4 linked regions of the Arabidopsis thaliana genome follow. The protein of the gene in region 4 binds, or shares a complex with, the protein of the main gene of each other region. Each region holds a gene or a part of one and is shown on either strand. Other genes may lie near its edges.

Evidence for each region.
Region 1: FES1 (region 4) and FRL1 share a complex: the UniProt entries of both Arabidopsis thaliana proteins name them as parts of the transcription activator complex.
Region 2: FES1 (region 4) and AT2G30120 share a complex: the UniProt entries of both Arabidopsis thaliana proteins name them as parts of the transcription activator complex.
Region 3: FES1 (region 4) and SUF4 share a complex: the UniProt entries of both Arabidopsis thaliana proteins name them as parts of the transcription activator complex.

The regions. Positions count from the first base shown.
Region 1 is NC_003076.8:5,342,553-5,347,661, reverse strand, and holds FRL1 (FRIGIDA like 1), read right to left. Parts: upstream 3,168-5,109; 5' UTR 3,156-3,167; coding exon 1,743-3,155; 3' UTR 1,556-1,742; downstream 1-1,555. Other genes in the region: AT5G16330 (NC domain-containing protein-like protein), read left to right, coding at 685-802, 889-1,499; UCH1 (Peptidase C12, ubiquitin carboxyl-terminal hydrolase 1), read left to right, coding at 3,509-3,539, 3,941-4,034, 4,124-4,226, 4,307-5,083. UniProt on the Arabidopsis thaliana protein: Required for FRI-mediated up-regulation of FLC transcripts, but not redundant with FRI and only partially redundant with FRL2. Required for the stabilization of the FRI-C complex.
Region 2 is NC_003071.7:12,859,104-12,864,190, forward strand, and holds AT2G30120 (protein FLC EXPRESSOR), read right to left. Parts: upstream 2,869-5,087; 5' UTR 2,760-2,868; coding exon 2,233-2,759; coding exon of another isoform or gene 2,229-2,232; exon of another isoform or gene 2,116-2,228; coding exon of another isoform or gene 2,103-2,115; exon of another isoform or gene 2,098-2,102; coding exon 1,922-2,097; intron 1,836-1,921; coding exon 1,744-1,835; coding exon of another isoform or gene 1,726-1,743; exon of another isoform or gene 1,576-1,725; coding exon of another isoform or gene 1,504-1,575; exon of another isoform or gene 1,387-1,503; coding exon 1,297-1,386; 3' UTR 1,044-1,296; downstream 1-1,043. UniProt on the Arabidopsis thaliana protein: Transactivator required for FRIGIDA-mediated activation of FLC and for the expression of the repressors of flowering AGL27/MAF1 and AGL31/MAF2. Does not alter expression of known activators of FLC expression.
Region 3 is NC_003070.9:11,039,014-11,045,789, reverse strand, and holds SUF4 (zinc finger (C2H2 type) family protein), read left to right. Parts: upstream 1-2,016; 5' UTR 2,017-2,196; coding exon 2,197-2,390; coding exon of another isoform or gene 2,391-2,394; intron 2,395-2,841; coding exon 2,842-2,942; intron 2,943-3,177; coding exon 3,178-3,307; intron 3,308-3,773; coding exon 3,774-4,183; intron 4,184-4,276; coding exon 4,277-4,419; intron 4,420-4,532; coding exon 4,533-4,730; 3' UTR 4,731-5,105; coding exon of another isoform or gene 5,106-5,177; 3' UTR 5,178-5,515; downstream 5,516-6,776. Other genes in the region: AT1G30972 (Plant thionin family protein), read right to left, coding at 880-1,119; AT1G30960 (GTP-binding family protein), read left to right, coding at 5,813-6,331, 6,528-6,617, 6,725-6,776. UniProt on the Arabidopsis thaliana protein: Sequence-specific DNA binding factor that recognizes the 5'-CCAAATTTTAAGTTT-3' sequence. Recruits the FRI-C complex to the FLC promoter. Required for FRI-mediated FLC activation, but has no effect on the expression of MAF1, MAF2, MAF3, MAF5, UFC and CO.
Region 4 is NC_003071.7:14,310,157-14,316,644, forward strand, and holds FES1 (Zinc finger C-x8-C-x5-C-x3-H type family protein), read right to left. Parts: upstream 4,559-6,488; 5' UTR 4,411-4,558; coding exon 4,287-4,410; intron 3,947-4,286; coding exon 3,853-3,946; intron 3,769-3,852; coding exon 3,545-3,768; intron 3,407-3,544; coding exon 2,115-3,406; intron 2,019-2,114; coding exon 1,989-2,018; 3' UTR 1,556-1,988; downstream 1-1,555. Other genes in the region: AT2G33830 (Dormancy/auxin associated family protein), read right to left, coding at 40-130; AT2G33840 (Tyrosyl-tRNA synthetase, class Ib, bacterial/mitochondrial), read left to right, coding at 4,855-4,955, 5,145-5,298, 5,384-5,667, 5,760-5,856, 6,106-6,211, 6,306-6,388, 6,481-6,488. UniProt on the Arabidopsis thaliana protein: Transcriptional activator involved in the FRIGIDA-mediated vernalization pathway, but not in the autonomous flowering pathway. Acts cooperatively with FRI (FRIGIDA) or FRL1 (FRIGIDA-LIKE 1) to promote FLC (FLOWERING LOCUS C) expression.

The sequences.
Region 1 (5,109 bases), on a different chromosome or scaffold from region 4:
GTGAAAACTGTGTTTTAACTATTTATCAAATGGAAATACAATTTTGGTAACATTAATTGTCCAAGAAATGAACTCTTCAAGACTCTTTAGATTATGAAAGAACAATATAACAGAATCCAACCAAAGTCATCAGCTGGATTAAATAAACCAGCAGTTCTTTGGTTTATGCTGCTTCAGAGGTGTTGTTTCGTTTTAAGAGTGACGCCGCTTCAGTGAGCCGGAATCGATGAAACTGCTTCCACGAATATGCCGTCGTAGAAGACGAAGACACTTTCTTGGCTCTTTCTGAGCTATCAGTAACTAACTTACCTAGTTGTTGTTGTGAAGTAGAGGATCTGCGGCTGCTTTTGTTGAATTGTCCAACTCTATATTTTATGTTATGCTGTATGGATATTGATCACAAGTAACATATTCGACAAAGGAACTTTCGTAGACTCACATAACTGTTTCTCCTGCCTTGTAGGGGAAGAAAGTTCGTGCAGGGGGGATATAAGTTGACAAAGATAGATGGGAAGACTCTGAAATCAAATTTTCTCTTATTTTAATACCACTACTCCTTTTACTAAAGCCAATAAAGAAGAAACATTCAGCTACAGACGTAAAAAAACAATATGGCTGCTGACTTTAAATTTTGGTTATAAAATCACAACCATAACAAAGCTAGGAAGAGAGATAGTCATCAAAATGGATTCCCACTTTCTGGAGAAGATAGGATTTATCTCAAACCAAATCTCCAGAGATAAACTTAAACCAGGAGATCACATCTATTCATGGCGTAACGCTTATATCTACTCTCATCACGGTTCAGTCTCTATCTCTCAATAACGTGACTTTTTTTTTGTTTCGGATTGCATCAAAGATAATCAAATATTTGATGCTCATCCTCAGGAATATATATAGGCGATGAGAAAGTCATTCATTTCACTTGTGGAGGTGGTCTAGAAACTGGAACTGGGACCTTCTTGGACAAGATCGTCGTTAGTGTCATCCCTAATCATAAAGGAGACAATCCTTGTTCTAATTGTGAAGAGCAATTGAATCTCGAAGGTGTAATCTCTTCTTGCCTTGACTGCTTTCTCGCCGGAGGAAACATCTATCTTTTCGAGTACAGTGTCTCTCCAGCTGCATTTATCGCCAAACCTCGACGCGGCACATGCACTATAGCACCTTCGGATCCCTGCGATGAAGTCATTTCCCGCGCCAAATACCTCTTATTGCGGAATGGGTTTGGTGATTACCATGCTTTGGAAAACAATTGTGAAGATTTTGCAATATATTGTAAAACAAGCTTGCTGGTCGGAAAAGACTATGTGTTGGGAAGGGGCGGTCAAGCCAGCTCAGTGAGTGCAGCTGCGTGGCTTGCGCAACTTAGTCCTTTCGGCAGCAAAGCTATTCAGCTATTTGCAGATATTGGTATGAGAAAGGATGCTATTAAGGTGCCCGTCGAGAGCCTCGTTCCTCGCGCATATGCTACTGGTACCTCTAGAAATAGAAGGTGATGAGGTTTGAAGACACGCCAACGGGCGGGTAGGCGAATTCTTCGAAGAATCTATAATGTAGGAAACATGATCCAATATTGTAGAAAAATTCACTACTATTCTATATAAACCAAAAAAACAAAGAATGAGATTCCTCAGACATAGAGTTAGAATGATTTTTTTACTTTCCATCAAGGCAAATATTCTACAAAGATAACATTTTACATTGAGGAGATTAAGATCTTATTGTCGAGATGCAGCTAGCTACTGAGAATAATAAGGCGGGTGGTATTGAGGCGGCAACACATATCCAGTTTGCTGAGCATAGTAAAGAGATTGAGGAGTTGCACCTGAACCAAAGAGCCCAGTTAATGGGTTCACAACAACACCAGAAAATGCTGAGGTCATAAGACCATAAGGGTTCAACTGTAAGCCATGATGACTATGCTCAGGCATAAGAAGAGCTTCTGGTCTAGAAAGTAGCTGCTGACTCGGAACTGGAACTTGTGACCCATTTTTGCAGTCTCTAGTCCGCTTTTTCCCCTTTTGCTGTGGCTCTTGCTTGGGAGGATTAGTCGTGTTGCGTTTCCTCAATGCCTTATTTTTCTCCAGCTCTTCTACACGTTCCTCAACTTTCTCCTGAGTAAACTCTGATTCAAGGTTCTGATCTTTGATGATTTTGATCAATGGTTTCAAGGCACTGACTTCTTTATCAGAGGCTTCGTTCTGCGACTTGAGAGAGTAGTTATCTTCCACGCAAACTCTAAGAGCAGCTTCTCTACAGTCCTTAATGTAAGATTTCAAAACAGGGATTGGCTCAAATTCATCAGTCATCCCACACTCATACATGAATTTGACTGCTAAAATTGGTTTACCAGAATCCAAGAGAGTCTTGATGAGTTTCCCAACTCTTTTCCTATCTACACCAATCTTGTTACAAACCAAAGTTGCTTGCTTATACTTAGCGATCATGAAAACGTAATCAGAAAGCTCCTCTGTGTCAAATTCTGATCCTAATTCAAAAGCTGCGACCAAATGCAGAAACACTAACGCCTCGAAAGGCTTGACACCAACCTTAGATTTCCAATGGTAAGCCAGTTTCTTAGCTCTATTTCTCGTATCAACAGTGATATTCGCATTGATCTCAATCAAAACTTCCATTAACAAAACGAAAACTCTCCTTACATCGAATGATCTTCCCGATGATGACGGTGTGTAGTTCGAACCTTCAATCGCGTCAAGCACCATGGACGCCGTATCCGGAGAGTAACGAATCGCTGCAGAAACTTCCTGATTGAGAGGAGTTTCATCATCCCATATCCTAATCAAATACTTAATCAAACCAATTCCGTCAATCTTCTCACACAAGGCTCTCAACTCCGGCTCAACAACGGGTTGCTCCGATACCTCCTCCGAAGACGACGATTTCCCTGCATCAGAAGCGTCGATTCTATACGAATCATGTTCCAAAGGAGATGTAGAGTGGAGGAGGCGGAAACGGCTAGCAAGGGAGGATTGGAGAGAGGAAAAGTGAGAATCGATCTCAGACCAGGAAAGTGAGAAAGACGGTGAAAGGAGAGAGCGATGAGCTTGAAGATCGTCGAAAGCTTTCTTTAGCTTTTCCTTCTTCTCATCAATCTGATTTATCGCGGTGGCGATAGTCTCACTCGCCGTCATTGTTTGATCTCTAAGATTTCTTTGGCTCTCTCCGGCAAGGATATATAAGAACGTTATCGGTTCGGTTCGGTTCGAGTAAGTTTAATAAAACCAGAACCGAATTGTTTTTCACTTGATTTGGTTCGATTTATAGAAATTGAAATGGTTTGGATGAATTCAATTTCGTTTCTACTCGGTTTAGAGCGACCTCTATTAAGACAAAATCGAGACCACACCAGTCTATAGTCTCTCTTTCGAGTCTGCAGCTAGCGTGAAGACGATGAAATCGATGGGAGGAGATAGATAAGCGCGAATTTGAGAGTGAAAATTCTAAATTCAGACCCATTTTCACCGGCGCGAGTCATCGTTGAACCATGTCTTGGCTTCCTGTAGAATCTGATCCTGGTATATATTCTCTTTAACAATTTGGGGTTCCTGTTTTCTGGATATATAAAGAGATGATGTCAGTAACGAGGTTTTGATAGTGGAGCACTAAAAATGTTTGGAAAATAGTCTTGGCTTCCTGTAGAATCTGATTTATGTTTGGATTTTGTCAAATTAGAAGCCAACAAATGTTGAAAATAGTCTTCTCTGCATCTACAAGAGGTGATACTTACTGTGTGAGGATTGGAAAATAAAAGTATTGATGCTTTTTGAAATTATATATCAACAATGGTGTTTGTCTTATACTAAGTGGATTAGTGTCTCTCGATAGCCATTGTGCCATATATGTGAGTAAGACCAATGTCGCTTTCTTGTTTGTTATTTCTTCATATTTTTTGGTTTTCTGTATTCTATATTTTTAGGTATTTTCACTGAGATTATACAACAAATGCAAGTGAAAGGTGTGCAGGTTGAGGAATTGTATTCCTTGGACTTCAACTCTCTGGATGAAATAAGGTAGTTTACTTGTTACTCTTTCATCTTCTATTGTTCGAAACAGAAGAAAAACAAAGTCAAATTTACCTTGAGTTGTCTGATATTTGCAGACCTGTCTATGGATTGATATTGCTTTACAAGTGGCGTCCAGAAGAAAAGGAGAATCGTGTTGTCATCACAGAGCCAAACCCGAATTTCTTCTTTGCAAGCCAGGTCTTTTACTCTCACATTAGATTTGTGACTCACGGATTTTCCAATCATTACCTTTTTTATAAACTATGTGTTTCTTGCAGATAATCAACAATGCTTGTGCGACCCAAGCGATATTATCAGTCCTCATGAACTCTTCGAGTATTGATATTGGCTCAGAACTATCAGAACTGAAACAATTCGCCAAAGAATTTCCTCCTGAACTGAAAGGTTTAGCCATCAACAACAATGAGGCAATACGTGCAGCTCACAACACATTTGCCAGGCCTGACCCGTCTTCCATCATGGAAGATGAAGAATTAGCTGCTGCGAAAAATCTAGACGAAGATGATGATGTGTATCATTACATCAGCTACTTACCTGTTGATGGTATCTTATATGAGCTCGATGGTCTTAAAGAAGGACCCATTAGTCTTGGACAGTGTCTGGGTGAGCCAGAAGGAATCGAGTGGCTCAGAATGGTCCAACCTGTGGTACAAGAGCAGATTGACCGGTATTCGCAGAATGAGATTCGGTTTAGTCTCTTAGCTGTAGTTAAGAACAGGAAAGAGATGTATGTAGCTGAACTGAAAGAGTATCAAAGAAAGCGAGAGAGGGTTTTGCAGCAGTTAGGTGCTTTGCAAGCTGATAAATACGCTGAGAAAAGCAGTTACGAGGCTCTTGATAGAGAGCTTTCGGAAGTCAATATCGGGATAGAGACTGTTTCACAAAAGATTGTAATGGAGGAGGAGAAATCTAAGAACTGGAAGAAAGAGAACATGAGAAGGAAACACAACTATGTCCCTTTCCTCTTCAACTTCCTCAAGATTCTTGCTGACAAGAAGAAGCTGAAACCTCTCATTGCTAAGCACCATCCCTAAATCTGCTTTACCGGGATGTTAACTTG
Region 2 (5,087 bases), 1.5 Mb from region 4:
AACTCTTCTATTTGTAAGAAAAAAACAGCAATTTAGATATGCTTAAAAGATAAGTTATCTTGTCAGGTGATCGTGCTCTATCTGATATTGGTGCTGCATTGGATGCTAATATGAGGAAGCAAAATCTGAAGCTTTAAGAAGGAAAGGCATAATAGATGCAGTTGAAACCTGGAAGCAAGCTAAGGAAGAAGAAAAATGGCTTCGTGACTACGAAAAGGTAGGTGAAGACCTGTGATACATCAAGAGAAGATTGACTTGATTAAAGTAAGCATTTCTTATTATATATTCTTGATCGTCTTTATAGGATGGAAACCTCTTCAATCTTGTAACTCGTAAGAGGAGAGTACGAACACTTAGAACGTGCTAAGAGTCTTGTCATGCAAATTCCTGGTGAGTCTTTATACGCGTAACCCTATTACCCTCTCTTTTTGAAGTAATGAACAAAGACTTAAGATGATAGTATTGTGTTTCTTTTCTAAGCCATGATTGAAGATCTAATCATTGAAGTGAAGGCTTGGGAAAAAGAAAGAGGAATCCCCTTCTTATATGATAAGGAAACACTTTAATGTAAACTTGTTGATTAAGCTTGTTTTTCTGATTCTGATATTGATTTGAGTAAACTTTGTGCATGTGGTTTGATAAAGCTAGCTTTTGATGTATGCCTCTGTTCTTTCTTTTTATCCCCTAGCACCCATTATTACAACTTTTGGAGGAGGAGATTGCAAATTGATTTGTATCAGTAGCTACTGATACAAATCAAGTGAAGTTAGTTCTGTAAAGGTGGAGAAATTTGCCAGAGAGGAATTGCATCAACTGTTGTTTGCCCGTGACTGAGGATGAACTCGAGTGTGTAAGAGGTTGCATGGAACAGAACAAACACACTCTGCCTTTTTCTTTATTCTTTCAAACAGTTGGTATTCAAGAAATTGTAGAGAAATAATGCACTAACAAAATGTAGCAGAGATTTTTCATGCAAAGAACCATCAATATGTCTGTCTAAATACCTTATATATTCAAATTTAATATGTTGGTAAGTACAAATCAAATGGAATAGTTTTAAAAATTTGTAATTCTAAAAGGACCACAAACTCTTGTCCTTGTTTGTTTATAGTTGGATGAGGTATGTAAATTAATGTAAACCTCAAAAATCGAACTGAGAATACAGAGTAGAAAAATTCTTCGAACTTCAATCAAATAAATTATTTGGTTGAATACACTCGCTAAATAAGATACACTAAAACAAAAATTGTCAAATCAAGTATATGGCTGGCCTATTCAAACGTAAGCAAGACACTATCACAACACACTAGAATGTTGAGTATTATTCAGAGGATGCTGCAATGGAGTAGATGGGTCTTGAGAGAGACAATCCGATGCTCTATATGCCTGAAGTGTATATTTGTGTGATGTTAAACACTACTAGAATCGAACAATGTTAAAGTAAAACCGCAATCTTATCATAAGCGTTGAATTCAGTCAATTATGAGTTTACAACAATTCTCACTAACCAACGGATACTTGTACAAGTTGGACACTTACTAACCTATGAACATAACTTTTTTCCCTGAGAACTAGCTATTTTGCTAAGATATCAGTTCAGAATGTAAGACAATCAGAACTTGGTATGCCAATCATTACAAACAATTAGTCCAATCTTCTCCTTCTCCATAATAATGCTAAATTAGGAGAACTTCTAACAGATGATCACGTAAAGTTACTACTTATCTATAGACTCATGTGTACCTCATGAGTACCATTAGCCTCCGGGTATTGCCGGCCTTGACCTCCATATATATCATCGGTGTTGTTTCCATAACTTGCAGCCAATCCAGGACCTTACATCAACAAATCATCAAAACTATAAGGTGGTTTTGCAGTTAAACTGTGTAAAGCAAAAAGCTAAAAAAGACAGAGAAATTACTTGGGGTTGGAGCTGCCTCAGCAGCTGCATTTGCTTCTCTAGCTTTAGTCTCCAGATCAACCAATTCTTCCTCAAGTTTTACAATCTCTCGATTCAAATGATCGATAGTCTTCTCCATACCGCGCTCATGGTGAAGGTTACTAGCTCGTGTCTTCTTCTCCAGCTCAAGAGCAGCCCTGTTTCATATCCCAAACCTCAAACAAATTCATTACTACTCCATAAGCATCCAAAAAACCATCATATGAGTATACACTACAAGATAACAAATCCAATGTTCCAACAAAAACAACAAAGAGAATTCAAATTTTCACCTTCCTTTACGAATCTCTCCTCGAAGAATCTCAATCTCCAATTTAACCTCAATAGCTCGATCCGAATTCGGTTTAGCCTTAGCCATCTCATCATCAAACATAGCCAATTCCGTAGCTAACTCCTGTCTATCACTACCTAACCTCTGTACATCAGACCTAACCTGACCAAGCTCAGCTCCAAGTCCATCAATCACACGAGCCTCCGCCTCCATTCTCAACGCATTCTGATAAACCTCACGCACTTTAGCTTCTCCTTCCGCTTTAACTTTAACAGCGGTTTCAAGTAACCGTTCGAGCTCACGCTTAGCTACATTGAGCTGGTCTTTGAGTCCGATGTGTGCTACAGCTAATCGTTGATTGTCGTTGAGAAGAGATTGGATTTCACGGTGTTGGATTGCGATTCGATCCTCGAGGATTACAGATCGAGCTCGATTTCGATCGGATTCGATTAATTGAGATTCTAATAATCTTGAAGATGATGAAGTTGAAACTGCTGATGATGGAATATAACGATCTCGTCCGGCCATAGTTTGCGATCTCCGATAATCTTCTCCGGTTTGTGAAAGTACTTCCCTAATTGAATTATGGTCGTTCTCTCTGTCAAAAGCTTTTTTATTCCGAGTTCGTTGTTAAAATAAGCCGTACCATCAAAAGCTAAACTGCGCAGCGCAAAAAAAAAAAAAAAAAAAAAACGTTATGAGCCCAAACTACAGTTATGATATGCTTGATTAAGCCCACTTGGACCAAACTAAGCCCAAATCAGAAAATTTGAGGCCGATTCAGACGTTGAAGGAATAAATTACTAGATACCTAGAGAAAGTATGTGCATCTTAAACCTTACCAAAAAAAAAAAAAAAGTATGTGCATCTTAAAAATATTCATATTAGTTTAAATATTCAAAATCTATTTACTTTTAATTAAACAAAATTTAAATATAAATTATGTGTTTATAAATAAGAGTTTGAATTTAGATTTTACAATTAAACGAGATTAATTACATTTTTGTTTAAATTTTGTATAGAAAGATTAGAATTTAAATTTTACAATTAAATAAAATTATATGTCAAATTATAAATAGCACCAATGACATTAGTTCAGTATTTTTTTAGATTGAAATGATTCAATTGGTAAAGAAAATATTTGTAGAGTACTCCAAGATAACACATATCTAATGGTAACCTATTTATATACAAACCGGAATAAATGAAAAAATTAGTCTTCTTTAACATTCTTAAATATATAATCATATTCATATGGAAAACAAAAAGTAATCGTAAATTTGATTATGAAACTATATAGTCTAAGTTGGAAATTCTAATAAATAGTTTATTTTTGAAAAAAAGAAAAACAAAATCCTATACAATCTAATTTTGTATCGCCAAATATTACATTTATTAGTGTTTTTTCTAACGATATACAAGTTTTTACTGACAGAAAGTGATAATCAATGATATGCTAATTGATATCGAAGGTAGAGTTAAAACTGTAAAATAAGAAAAGACGAGGCGGCAAGAGCTAGAGTCCAAGTCTACGGATTAGCACGAAGCTCTGATGTTTCAGATTGCTTCTTTTTGTTTCTTACAGAATCTTACAGACTTATTAAATTCCGACATAAACAGAAACTCATTTCTTTCACTCATTCAACTAAAGTTTAAGCAAAAACCAAACCCTCAGGTCTTTAAAGTTTTTTTTTTTTTTTGTCCCAACTCTTCAACACAAAAGAGACTTCAATAAATTTTAACTGAACTCAGTCAAACATTGCTTCTTGTCTCCTCCCCCACCGTTTCCAAAGATTTTATTTTTTTCTTTGGGTAAGAAAATAAAATAGAAACAAAAGAGCAAATACCGAGAACCGAATCTTCCATGTCATCTCAAAGCATTTAATGATGTGCATCGAGTCTCACATGCTTATTTTTCTCCGAGGTGCCCAAAGATGTCTGTTCTCTCTTCTTCTTCTTTTTTTGTCTTCTAAAATTTTGATTAAATGTTTAGTTTAGAGAATTATTTAGTTCTTCTTTCTTTTGAATGATTCTAAAATACATTAGCAAGAAGAACCACTTCCCAATGTGACAGTTCTAATTCTAAAATATATCCCTCCATTAACACCTAAACTATTTATTCTTCCTCTAGAGTGGTCCTATTAACTGAGTCATTTTCTTTTCTATAATTCCTTTTAGTACTAATTAACTATATAGGGATTTAATGATCCTAAGCTCAAATTATATTTCCACTCGGACTTTGCATAGTTACAAATTTTGTGGGGTTTTTCTGTTACAAAAATGAAGAAGAAATACCGAGTTAGCTTTTTTTAAAAAAATTTAGCTTTCTGTTTTCCTTATATTTACTAATTCTAATAAAAAGCAAAATAATATCCAAGTCTTGACACTTCTAATCTTACCGTAAAAACATAGAGTAAAAGTTAGAAATAAAACACTGAAAATTAGTTATAAAAAAAATCATCAATTGACGATGTTGGTAGATATATCGAAATTTGGTCATTCAACTATTTAAAAATTCATTAGAAAAAATATGCTGATCATAAATATTAAATTGTAGTTCTTTTTTATATAATCATTTATTTTGTTGATTAGTAAATTTAAACTTACAACCCAAAAAAAAAAAAGATGTAGTTGACTGTTGGTTTAATTTGTAGACTTAGTTACGTTAGGGGTTGATTGTGATTTAGTCACTTAGGTTGAACTACTTTAAATATAATGAATTAAACTAATCTTGAGATGCATGTTCTTTTTTAATACAACTTGATATGATATCGATTTGGAGGGGCAGTAAGACAATTCTAGATAAATCTGATGCATCATACATTAATTGTGGGGGCCTAGCTACACACCCAAGTT
Region 3 (6,776 bases), on a different chromosome or scaffold from region 4:
ACGGCAAAACAAGTGAGAGCCAATTTTGCTTCAATAGGAGAAACGTAGTAGTGGCAGTTTTATTTTAAATGTATAAATTGAAACAAAGTGTTTTTCTCTTGAAGCTGAACATAGATGGTTTCACTTTTGTCTCATGTAAATATGGTCATATGGATTTTGCTTTATCCACAAGGTATCACACTTTGAAATAACTAAAATAAAAAATATGAATCAAGAAAATCAATAAGCCGCTACATGTCACTTCCAAAATTATGAAATATGAGATTCGAATCTAAGAGGAGTCTTAAACTGTTAAACAGAGACGTGTTTACAGTCAAGAGAAATTTATAACATGGGACAAATTTTATTTTATTTTATTTAATAGCGTTACAAATTTACAATGATCATATTACATAAGGAGGATACAAAAGTAGAAGAAGAGCTAGTTTAAAAGTCCCAAGAGTCCAACACTGATTCATGACTCATCGTCTCTTCTATTTCTGCGCTTCCACTATACAAATTAGAACCATCGATTATTTTAACCTTTAGTTTTTCCAAATAATCTCTTGAGTTTAATTTAAAAAATAATATTTTCAGGACTATATGTATACCTAAACAGTGACAATGATGTTTCTAAGATTTAAAACACTTTATTACCGAAATATATCTCAAAATTTTACTATTTCAAAACGTTATGTTGCTATTTTATTTTTCACCACATTTTCGAAACATTAGCATACCGTTCAATCATTTGAACATTCCATTGTTAATCTATTATTATTATTACACTAGTCAAACTTACTTCAAATTTATTTATACAAAGGGGAATATATTTTATATAGTTAGTAAAAATCTCAATAATCATTAAAATAGATTTTCTTTGACATATTTCCAAAATTGTTAGATTGTTTGTTTGTTTTTACCTTCTGAAAAATGGTTACCTAATGTACGACGAGGTTTGCCGGGACATCGACGGTAACAATTCTGAAGGCACGTGATCGGAATTCTTCCTGTGGTGGCACAACCTAGAATGCAATCTTCATGGCATTGAGCTTTCGTCTCTCCATTGACATTTTCCATTGCTATAACCATTGTCACCACAAACACCATTATAATCATTGAATTCCATTTAGCACCCATATCTTTAACTTTTTTGTTGTTGCAAGTGTTTCATGTACTTAAGAAATAATGAATAGCTATCCTCTATTTATAATCTTTTCTAATAGTTATCTAATTCTTAGCTCTTATCGTCTCTTCTTCTTATTTGTTATAGGAATTGCTCTTCTTTTTTTTTCCTGGTCAAAGTTTCTTTGTAATAGAGACTAGTTACTTTTTTGGTTAATCTTCTTCTGTTTTTTTCTCTATTTATAATCTTTTCTAATAGTTATGTAATTCTTAGCTCTTATAGTCTCTTCTTCTTATCTGTTACATGGATTCCTTTTTTCTGGTCAAAGTTTCTTTGTAAGAGAGATTACTTACTTTGTTGGTTAATCTTCTTCTGTTTTCTCACAGTTTATTTTAAGTTAATTTGAGATTAAGTTAATTTGAGATTTCATTGGACAAAGAAAATTAACTCTTGAAAGAATAAAAAATTATGTCAGAAGTGGGGTTTGAACCCACACCCTCTTACGAGGACCAAAACTTGAGTCTAAGGCCTTAGAGCATCCACATTGGTCACTTATATGTAGATGTCTTTAAATATAAAACTATAAATAATAATAATAAAAAAATTATGAATGTTTTTAGTTTGAGATTTGTGTTTCTGTAGAGACACTTTAAACACAACAAAAGTGAAATGTCTTTAATTTTATTATTTATTTATACTAAAAACATCTATAAAAAGTTGTCTAATGAGGTTGCTCTTAGACCACTTGACCATCCTAACGGATAACATAACCAATACTAATAGTATCATTATATAACTTACTAAGCATTTTGGAAAAATATATAATTAAACAAGAGTTATGGGTTCTTTACGAAATATTACACAAGAAAGTACCTTTTCTTATAAATACAAGATAGTAACCATTAGATAAAGTAAAAATAAATAAAAAACAGAGAATCTGAAGATCGTAGAAGAAATCGAGAAAACGCTTTGTACCAATTAGAAACCCTAGCGAGCGGAGGAAGGAGACAAAGAACGAGACTTTTGAGAGATTGGAGATTTCAATTTTGAGATCAAATCTTGAAATCAACAAATAGGAGAAAGATTTAGTGATGGGTAAGAAGAAGAAGAGAGCTACAGAGAAGGTGTGGTGTTATTACTGCGATAGAGAGTTTGATGATGAGAAGATTCTTGTGCAGCATCAGAAAGCTAAGCACTTTAAGTGTCATGTCTGTCATAAGAAGCTTTCTACAGCTAGTGGCATGGTGATTCATGTTCTTCAGGTTCATAAAGAGAATGTTACAAAGTATGTGCCTTTTCTTTTTACCCTTTCCCTATGGCTCTTTTTGTTGTGTTAGGTTGATTTGGAATATTAGGGTTGTTGCCTCTATGATCTTTGTTCAAGTTCTGATTTTTTTTTTGCTCTTGTTGTGTGTGATTGTCGTTTGATTTCTGTTAGATTGCGCTAATTGTGACTGTTGTGTTGTGGTTTGAATCGGTTGATTGTGTATGTTTGCTGGAATTTGAATCGTTTTTTTGGATTATCTCTTGAATGGGTTTGGTTAATTTGTATATGTCTGGTCATAAACCCTAATTTCTGATTGCAATTTTTGTAAAGAAACAGTCTTTTGCTTTTGCTTTTGCTTGATAGGTTTTTCTTGGAATTTGTGGTACTGTTCAATGTGTTTGCCTGTTGAATTTGGAATTTGATTCCATGACACTACTAACTTTGAAATTATCTACAATTTTCACACCAGAGTTCCTAATGCTAAAGACGGTCGAGATTCAACTGATATTGAAATATATGGAATGCAAGGAATTCCACCCCATGTCTTGACTGCTCATTATGGAGAAGAAGGTATGCATTTGAGATAGTGAGAGTACTGTTTAGATTATGAGCAATTGATTTAGAGAAGTAAGGCGATAAATTTGTATGTCTCTTCATCAAGTGTTGTAGATCTATTGCATCTAGTGGTCATGAATTCGTTTTGATTTTGCATGCGGCTTTTTGCCTTATCAAAGTTATTATATATTATTGTTATGTTTGCTTGTTTCATATGGTACCTTTTGAACTGAAGTCATGTTTTCTGCAGAGGATGAGCCTCCAGCCAAAGTTGCAAAAGTTGAGATTCCTTCTGCCCCTCTTGGTGGTGTAGTTCCTAGACCATATGGAATGGTATATCCGCCTCAACAAGTACCTGGTGCTGTACCTGCACGACCAATGTATGTACTAATTATACTATACTCTCTCTATGGCCGTTACTTGTTGAATTCTTAGATGTTGTCTCTGTTTTTAAAAATCCGATCCATGCTAAATGATGGGGAACTTTTTTTCTTTTAGTTCTCTTGATGCAAAAGGTTCTTGGTTTCTTTAGTTTGTCTCTGTCCTAGAACTTTTCTACTTTTGTTCTTCTATAAGACCACTATAACACCCGTAGTAAACATTTTTTGAAATAGATCGTTATCTAAGATATTGTTGCACTTAACCAACTATGACCCATAAGGTTCTTAGTTTCCCTAGCTTGTTCTCGTGATTTTTCAGGATAGAACTTTGTCCTAGAACCATTCTTTTGCTCCTCTTCAAGACCACAATAACACCTGTAGTAAACAGTTTTTTGAAATAGTTCATGATCTTAGATATTGTAATATGTATGGCTATTGACCATGATAAAATATTTCGTGTTAGCAGGTATTATCCGGGTCCTCCTATGCGTCATCCTGCTCCTGTATGGCAAATGCCACCTCCTCGTCCGCAACAATGGTATCCTCAAAATCCAGCTCTTTCTGTACCTCCAGCTGCCCATTTAGGGTATCGACCACAACCACTTTTTCCTGTTCAAAATATGGGGATGACTCCAACTCCAACCTCAGCTCCTGCCATACAACCATCACCAGTCACTGGAGTAACTCCTCCTGGAATTCCTACATCATCACCTGCAATGCCAGTTCCTCAACCTCTGTTCCCTGTTGTGAATAACAGCATTCCTTCTCAAGCTCCACCATTTTCTGCTCCTCTGCCTGTTGGTGGGGCTCAGCAACCATCTCATGCAGATGCTTTAGGATCAGCAGATGCTTATCCGCCTAACAATTCTATTCCAGGTTCAATCCCAAGTTCGTAGAATCATTGACTTACATTTGGTTTAGCTGTTTTGTATCAAATTGTAATATCTTTTTCATGTTTTGTTGCCGTAGGTGGGACTAATGCTCATTCTTATGCCTCTGGCCCAAACACTAGCGGTCCTTCAATTGGTCCACCTCCTGTAATTGCAAACAAAGCTCCTAGCAATCAGCCTAATGAGGTCTATCTTGTATGGGATGATGAAGCGATGTCTATGGTTAGTTTATTCCTAATTTCTTATGCATCATGTTGGAATGGTTACAATTGGAAAAGTTTCGAGTAATGAACCATTTGGTTTTCCAATCTGACGCAATGTGTCTGTATCTGCAGGAGGAAAGAAGAATGTCCTTACCAAAATACAAAGTGCACGATGAAACCAGCCAGGTAAGTTCTGATTTACCCTTTTTAAAGTTAAGAAGAGTTTGCTTTTGCAAGTCTAACCCATTCGGTAGGCTTTATTTATACATTTCTGTTCCAGATCCTATTGTTTCTGTGCTAAGAGGTACCACCGTATTATTCAGTTTATAATTTCTTCCCTTAGAATATGATAAGAAGGACTTAGGCAAGAAACTTGAGCATTTTGAATCAATGTTCGAAAGGTATCATTTGTAGCTTGCAATAGTAGGTAGTGAGAAACATAGCGTTTGTATCTGTTTGTTTTTCATTATATTTCCTGTCTATTGTATTGTATTAAAAATGTGGTGATTGGTTCCACAAGATCATACTCTACAGGTTTGGTTTCAAACCCAGGTCAGCTCTTTTTATATTCTTAACTCTGCAAAGTTTGGTACCTTTGCACAATCTCACTGCCTTGGGGAACCAAAACAATACGCACTTAACTCTTTCAAAATAAAGCATCCAACTTCTTAACTCAACACCAAGTTTGTTTCTTTTGGTTTGCAGATGAACTCGATAAATGCAGCGATAGACAGACGAATCTCAGAGAGTAGGCTTGCTGGGCGGATGGCGTTTTAGAATTTGGCACCAAACCAAACCAGCGTCAAAGAAAAGGCGATATGGATGAAGGCTTTGTTACAACAACAAGTCTTCACTCACTTTTGTTCAGATACTGAATTTATGATCTGATTTTAAGTTATTAACTTTCCATCTGTTGTATTCTTTAGCCAGGTGAGTTAGTTTACCATTACATTGTTTAGGGATCTCAGAGATGTTTTTTCTCAGAAGTTTAGTCCTTTTTTTTTTTGGTCGTTGGAGACTTGGAGGAAGAACTTTGTCTCCTTTTCTTCTGAATTGATCAAAGTATTATATTATACAGATTCACCCAAAATGTTTGCACCATGTTGTTCAATATTTTGCCAAAACAAAATTGACTAATATTCCTTCCATTAACTGTATATTCAAACTCCAATTGATACGATTAGTATGAATTTTTGTTGTATTGCTACTTTGCTAGTAGTAATTATATCGAATACAAAGTTAGGGACTACGTTGGATTTGTCAAAAAGTGAGGGGCCTATCTGTAATATTGAGTTACTTTGTCACCACTTCCCCAAAACATCAAAACCTCTAAAACCCTCGGAAGCCTCTTCTGTTACATTTCGTTCAAATCTGTACTTCTCCGAGATCGCTACTTCGCCATTGTTACAAAAATGAAAGCTTTTAGATCTCTACGTATACTAATTTCCATCTCACGAACGACGACGAAGACAACACCTCGTAATCCCCATCAAGCACAAAACTTTCTCCGCCGATTTTACTCAGCGCAGCCGAATCTAGACGAACCCACTTCCATCAATGAAGACGGATCAAGCAGCGACTCTGTTTTCGATAGTAGTCAATACCCAATCGACGATTCCAATGTAGATTCCGTGAAGAAGCCCAAGGAAGCAACTTGGGATAAAGGGTACAGAGAAAGAGTAAACAAAGCCTTCTTTGGAAACTTGACAGAGAAAGGTAAAGTGAAAGTTGCAGAAGAAGAGAGTTCTGAAGATGATGAGGATAGTGTTGATAGGTCAAGGATTCTCGCTAAGGCTCTCTTAGAGGCTGCGTTAGAGTCACCAGATGAAGAACTTGGTGAAGGTGAAGTTAGAGAAGAAGATCAGAAGTCGCTTAATGTCGGCATCATCGGTCCACCTAATGCAGGAAAATCTTCGCTGACTAATTTCATGGTTGGCTCATTTCCTTAATTTCACATTCCTGTGATTTGGTCTCTGAGAATCAATTGAGACATTGTGTATATGTTTATGTAGTGCTGCTATGACTCTTGATTAGTCCTAAAGTTGCAATTTTTGAAGTGATTGTGTATCTTTGTTTATTGCATCTTGATGAGAGTTATGCTTAGTGTTTCGTTATGTCCAAGTGTAGGTTGGAACAAAGGTTGCTGCTGCTTCACGGAAGACTAACACGACGACACATGAAGTGTTAGGAGTATTGACAAAAGGAGATACACAAGTCGTAAGTTTTCTCTTATATATCTGTTGCATATGTAAACTACTCGTTATGGTTAGTTGTGGAGATCAGCCATTCGTAGATTGAATTTTTGATATTTGTGAACCTTGCAGTGTTTCTTCGATACTCCGGGTCTGATGCTGAAGAAAAGCGGATATGGTTACA
Region 4 (6,488 bases):
TTTATTACGGAGTTATGGTTGACAAAGAAAAATAAATACCTTTGATGTCAAGGGGTTGGGTGGTGATCTTATTGCGGAGGCGGCCAAGGCCATGCTCCGGTTTAGGTCCGGCTACAGTTTCATCCCACATATTTCTTTCTTTTTTTGGGTTGATTTTGGATAGAATTGTGTCAAGTGTGAAGTACTTACTAAAGGGCTTCCTTCATCTAATTTATAGACTCATTTTTAAACTATTCGTAAAAATATCTCTTTTCCTTTGTCGACTAGTTCTCTCATTTTTTATTTGACCCACAAAATATCTAGAGAAATACTATAATAGACTAGAAATAATTGACAAGTAATTGATAACTTAATTACCAAATGAAGTTTATATACTTGCACATAGAATTTTCGTTAAAATTTGATACGTTTAGCCAAAATGTTATTATTCTCTGTCAATAAACAACATGAATACATAATATAATTGTAAATTGTGTGTTATGTATTAATATGTCATTTTACAACATTTTAATATAACATGCAACTTCCAGGGTTTAGAGCTAAAATACACGCCATCTTTGGAAATTAGGATGTGGATAAGCCTACTTTAAAGGACCTTAATATATAACATTAATGTTATAATATAGATCAAACCATTGATCATGAGAAGCGTGAGCAGTGAGGGAGAAGTGTGGAAATAAAAAAAATGCAAGGTGGGTATAGAGCTGGAGATATGGATAAGGACGACGAGTCATAAAGTGTAGGGACCCTTAAATCAAAAGAATCCCAAGTCTTTCGTGGAAAAGTATTATAGGAACAACAAACATATTTTGATTATTTTGTGAAGTTAATATTATTAAGCAACAGTAACTCTAATCAAATAGTTTTCCACAAACCCACCATAGATAATAAGTTCATGATGTCCTAATGATCATAGTCCAAATGATTCACTAAAATGTTTGAAAAAGATAAAACTAATTCCAAAACTGTACACAAAACGTATGCACTTTATCCTAAACCAAAAACCACTTTCTACTTACAGTAAAACTTCTATAAATTAATAATGTTAGGACCGAAAAATTATATTAATTTATAGAGGTTTTAATTTATCGATTAATTAATTAATTTATAGAGATATTTTTCTAATTTATTAACTTTTAAAAAAAATTTAAGATTTTTTCATTATAGAAAATATTTTTTAAGAATCAATTACAAGTAAAAAGTAATATCATATTTAGAAAACAACACCAAAATTTTTTGATACAATAAAATATTAGAACTCAATATCAAATAAGAATAAATACAAATTTAAGCAAAAAAAAATATTAGAAATATATTTTAAAGAAATTTCTTACATATAATGTATATATAGTTGATACATTTCTGCAATTATTAATTTGTGATATTAATGAGACCATATATTTACATAGGATTTTCAAAAAAATTATTATCTTATTAATTTATCGATTTATGTCATTTTTTCCATTAGTCTCACCTCGGGATTGGAAGAAATTATTAATTTATAGAGGTTATTAATTTACCGAGTATTAATTTACAGAGGTTTTACTTATATTGATGGAGAAATACAAAACTAAAACTAACTTCTAATTTGAAAAATCTTGGTTTCACAAAGCTAAATTACTTATCAAATAGTTAGGAAACGTACCTCAACATTATTCCATTTCTTTCTCTTTTCCTCTGCTTCCAAGGCAACCATTCTTTATCACATTACTTCTAAAGATCACATTCTAAATCATATTCCCAAAGGTAAAAGAAAACTGTTTTAAGCATAAATTAAGCTTTGAAGAGTTTTACAATGTGTACACATTTCCTCCACCAAGCTCCCATTCCAACCTTATTCCATTATCGGTAAAGGATAGGAATGGAGTTCCAAAGAATTTAGGTGCTACGTACTAAATCTATAACTGAGTAAAAGAAGGATGACATAATGTACAGGAATCTCATCAGTTTGAGCTCATGCCACACCAAGTGACATTTGGTTTGATAACTCAGGGTTTACCATACTTTTCGACATACCCCTGCAAATGAACATAAGAATTGTTAGCTTATGCAATACTTACTACTTAGGTTTTTACCTGCTTTAAGTGTCTTTTATTTCCAGCTAAGAAACTCACCTCGACAAGTTTCACAATTCTGGTTCCAGACAAACCAAGATATTGATCAACTGATTCTGTGTCAGTTGGCACCTGATGAAACTGGACAGCGGCGCCGACTACCTTTTCTGCAGCTTTTTTAACTATCATGTTATGCACGTCTTTAGTTAGACGACCCTCACGCCACAACGGTTTCAACATTTCTTTAATGGTTTCCACAACTGCAGTCCGGAATAGTCTCATTACTTTCATTCCTGCATCTGACCTCACTTCACCATCTATCTCATCTGATTTCTTTGTCTTTTTATATGAAGACCCATCACTTCTATGCCAAGAATCATGCCCTGCAGGTTTGATTCTTTTCAAAACAACTCTATTCTCTGCAGCCGTAGCCGAAGAAATCTCTTTGCTAGGCGTTGCTGTATCATTTTGATCAACCACTGACGTAGCCACCCCTTCCACTACTCCATGTGCTTCCAAACTCCTTGCCACGGTTTCTTGGTGTTGATTTTGACTGCATGAACTGCTTTTATCATCATTCTTGCAATCCCGTGCTTGGGGACCACTAGCAGAATCACCATCTTTCTGCTGGCAGGAACTTTTCCGTGCATGTTCTCCTTTACTTGACAATGAATCATTAAGAGGTCTGTCTCCTAGATTCTCTATATCCGTGAAAGGATCGTAGAGGGCATCAGACGAGGGAAGAATATAAGGTGGAATTGTAAAAGATGCTTTAAAAGGTTCAGAAGGTTCCCAGTCATCTGAAGAAACTTTCTTTTTAGTGCTAGTAGTGTTGGCTTCTGCGCCTTTATCAGAAGAAACAGCTACCCCTTGCAGCGTTGGAAGTGATCCGGATCCAGATAAACTATTCCCATTTTCAAAATCCCCCACCGTAGAAGCACGATCATTCATAGGAACAGAACTGGATAATGATCCTGTCCAGGCTGGTCCAGCAGATCCCATGTCTGTTTTTAAATAGGAACTGATAGAAGGTCTATGCTCATGAACAAAGCTGCTTCTCAATGCGAAGGAATTGGCGTTATTAATAACTAGAGACCTGTTGTCAGTGAAATCAGCACCATACGTTTGCTTCAAACTCTCTCTTCTAATGTTTTCAAATGAAGGCATAAAGCGCATCTCGTTATTGAACGGGAAAACTCTCTGAGAACCTGGGGGATTCACAAAAGACATGGAGGAGAAAACTCTCTGAGGATTCATGAAAGATATATCCTCTCTGGTAGGCAACGATGTCACACCGTTTTCGCTTAACTGGGAAACTCTTACACCTTCTCTGCTGTCCAAAATTCTTCTTTCTGAATAGACATAAGCAAAATAAATTATTGGTTGATTCAGAAAGAGTAATTAAACCCCATAGATATTCACCGGCCTCTATATTGTTGGAACTACCTCCACATAGAATCACAAGAATAAGTATTCATGGTACAACGTACCTAGATCAGACCGGATACCACCGTTTCCAGCCATACTATTTTCCGCCAGTTGTTGACTAGTGCAATTTGAATTCTCTTTCACATGTAGAAACTTGCAGGACACCCCATTGAAACACCACCCTTTAGCAAAAAATTTGCAGGGAAGAGCTGCACGTTTTTGTTCTGGTTCATTCCCACCACCGCCAGTGAAAAAGCTTCTTGGCGGTATACCCGGAGCAGGAAATCTGATAACCGAATTTGTCAGTATAAAAGCTTCAACCTCTTAACTTAGTTTCAGCAAAACTTAAGCAGAAACTTTTTTGCCATACCTTGGTAAAGTACCATTATCTTGAGCAAAAGCTTGCTCCTTTATGATTTTTGATTGCTCATCTAAAGGTGTTGTTACAGAATGCCTCTTCACATCTACATGAGACAAGTTTAATCAGTACATATTAGCAAAACTGCTGTTTTGAATAAACAAAAGAGATTCCTTACAGAAACAAGCACAAAACTCTGAGAATTGAATTTGCTTACTTGGTATTAAAGCCACAATTTTTACAAAAGAGCTTCAGTGAAAATCTAATTGCCAAGTCTTTGAACCTCTAATCAGAGCTAAATCTAGTCAATTTAACAATTCTCTCTTTCTTCTAGAACAAAATTCATCAATTCCAAATTGGAAAAGGTGTTTCCATCAATAAAAACACGAACTTGACAGAATTAATCAACAATACCATGTAACCAATCACGAATTTCAAATACTAACCGTTGTGGGAATTGGAAGCTTGAATTGGTGGTTTATCAAACAATTCAGATTCTCTTACAATTGTATGTACTTGCACCTTTTGTTCGACCTCATCATCATCAATGTCCATGTCGGAATCAGACATCTTGAAGTCTTCGGCGAGGTAACCAACGCAGAGAGTGGTAAATTGATAAAAAAAAATACTGCGGCGTGATCGGGGTCCGAAGCTCGCTGTTGAGTCCTGATGATCTCCGAGAATACGTTTGGTATATCGAAACCACCATTGTTACAAAGACCACCGAACTATTTTATATCTAATGGGCCTTTCCTAAATAATTAAAGCTTTAGTATTAAGGCCCATACTAAATTCCAAATTTTACCAACTATTTCCTAAATTAACACATCGTTGCCTTTTTATAGTAACCGGATTAAACCAAAACAAAATTAAAGAGAATCGAATCAAACCGTGAAAATCGTGAAGCGTAGTGGTGCTATATTGCACGTTAACTGTCTCCATCACTGCCACTGGTAAACCCTAAGAATCCTCCGCAATTTCGCAATTTTGTGAAGGAGCCGCCGGCTAAATTTGATGGCAGACCAAAGTTCGGAGATCGTCAATGCTCTGTCGTCGGAGATGGAAGCTGTTTCCGTTTCATCAACTCAGGCATCTTCTTCGTCCGATGGATTCCAGTGAGTTTTCTTACCAATCATCAATTTTTTTCATTTTCGCGCTTCAATTTTGATTTGGATTATATTATTTGATTAGAGTGGAAGAGATGAAAAAGCTATAGCAATTTAGAAGTATGGAATTTAAAATTGAAAAGATCTTGTTATCTGCTTATTGGTCTGGTAGATATTGAAATTTTACTAATTCTTCAGGATGAGTGAAGAAGTTGAGAAGAGATACAAAATTGTTAGGAGTATCGGTGAGGAATGTATACAAGAGGAAGAGCTAAAGAATCTTCTTGCTAAGAAGGCTGCTCCGATTTGCTACGACGGCTTTGAACCATCAGGAAGAATGCACATTGCTCAGGTCTGTTAGTTTTCCTTTGTTCCATTACCATATGTGGGAAGGAAGCGTTGGCTAATCTATTTTGGTTCTGTTGTTTTCTTAATAGGGAGTGATGAAAGTCATCAATGTGAACAAAATGACTTCAGCTGGTTGCAGAGTGAAGATTTGGATTGCTGATTGGTTTGCTCAGTTGAACAACAAAATGGGTGGTGACTTGAAGAAAATCAGAGTGGTTGGAGAATACTTTCAAGAGATATGGAAGGCTGCTGGGATGGATAATGACAAAGTAGAGTTTTTGTGGTCGTCCGAAGAAATTAATTCTAAGGCAGATAAGTATTGGCCTCTTGTGATGGACATTGCTCGCAAAAACAAGCTCCCTAGAATCTTAAGGTTACTTTTCTAAATCTTCTCCATTCTTGGGACGTTGTAATTATGTGAGGGAAATGATGGGACCTGAATGACTCTGGTTCTTGTCCTTGAAGGTGTGTGCAGATTATGGGACGTAGTGAGACTGATGAACTGAGTGCTGCCCAGATCCTTTACCCATGCATGCAATGTGCAGATATTTTTTTCCTTGAGGTACTGTTAAGCCTTTGCTTGCTTATGAACTGTCTTTGATTCTGCTGCTAGTTACTCGGAATAAAAAATTTAGCTTAAGCGTTACATCAGCAGAAAGTCTATTATATTGTTGATAAAACACCTGATAAAAGCTCCAGGCTAGAAATAAGCTGTATATGATTGCAGATTTTATCAATGTAATGTTACATTTTGTGTATCTGGCTGATGAGTTCTGTGACTACTGTTAAACCATTTTCGTTACATATGTAGGCTGATATTTGCCAGCTTGGGATGGATCAAAGAAAAGTAAATGTGCTAGCGAGAGAATACTGTGATGACATAAAGAGGAAAAACAAACCGATAATCTTGTCACACCGTATGCTCTGCATTTTCCTATTTGACTTCTGTTATACCACGTTTTAACTGGTCTAGCGTGTTGTTAATCATTTATCATTGTTAACTACTTGCAGATATGCTTCCTGGTCTCCAACAAGGACAAGAAAAGATGTCCAAAAGTGATCCATTATCTGCTATCTTTATGGAAGATGAAGAGGTAACTATAACTTAGCCAAAATTCTAAGTTTACAAAAGTAGATAAGAGTTATCACAGTTGTTGACTTGTTTTGAATGTCTGGATGTCCTCAGGCTGAAGT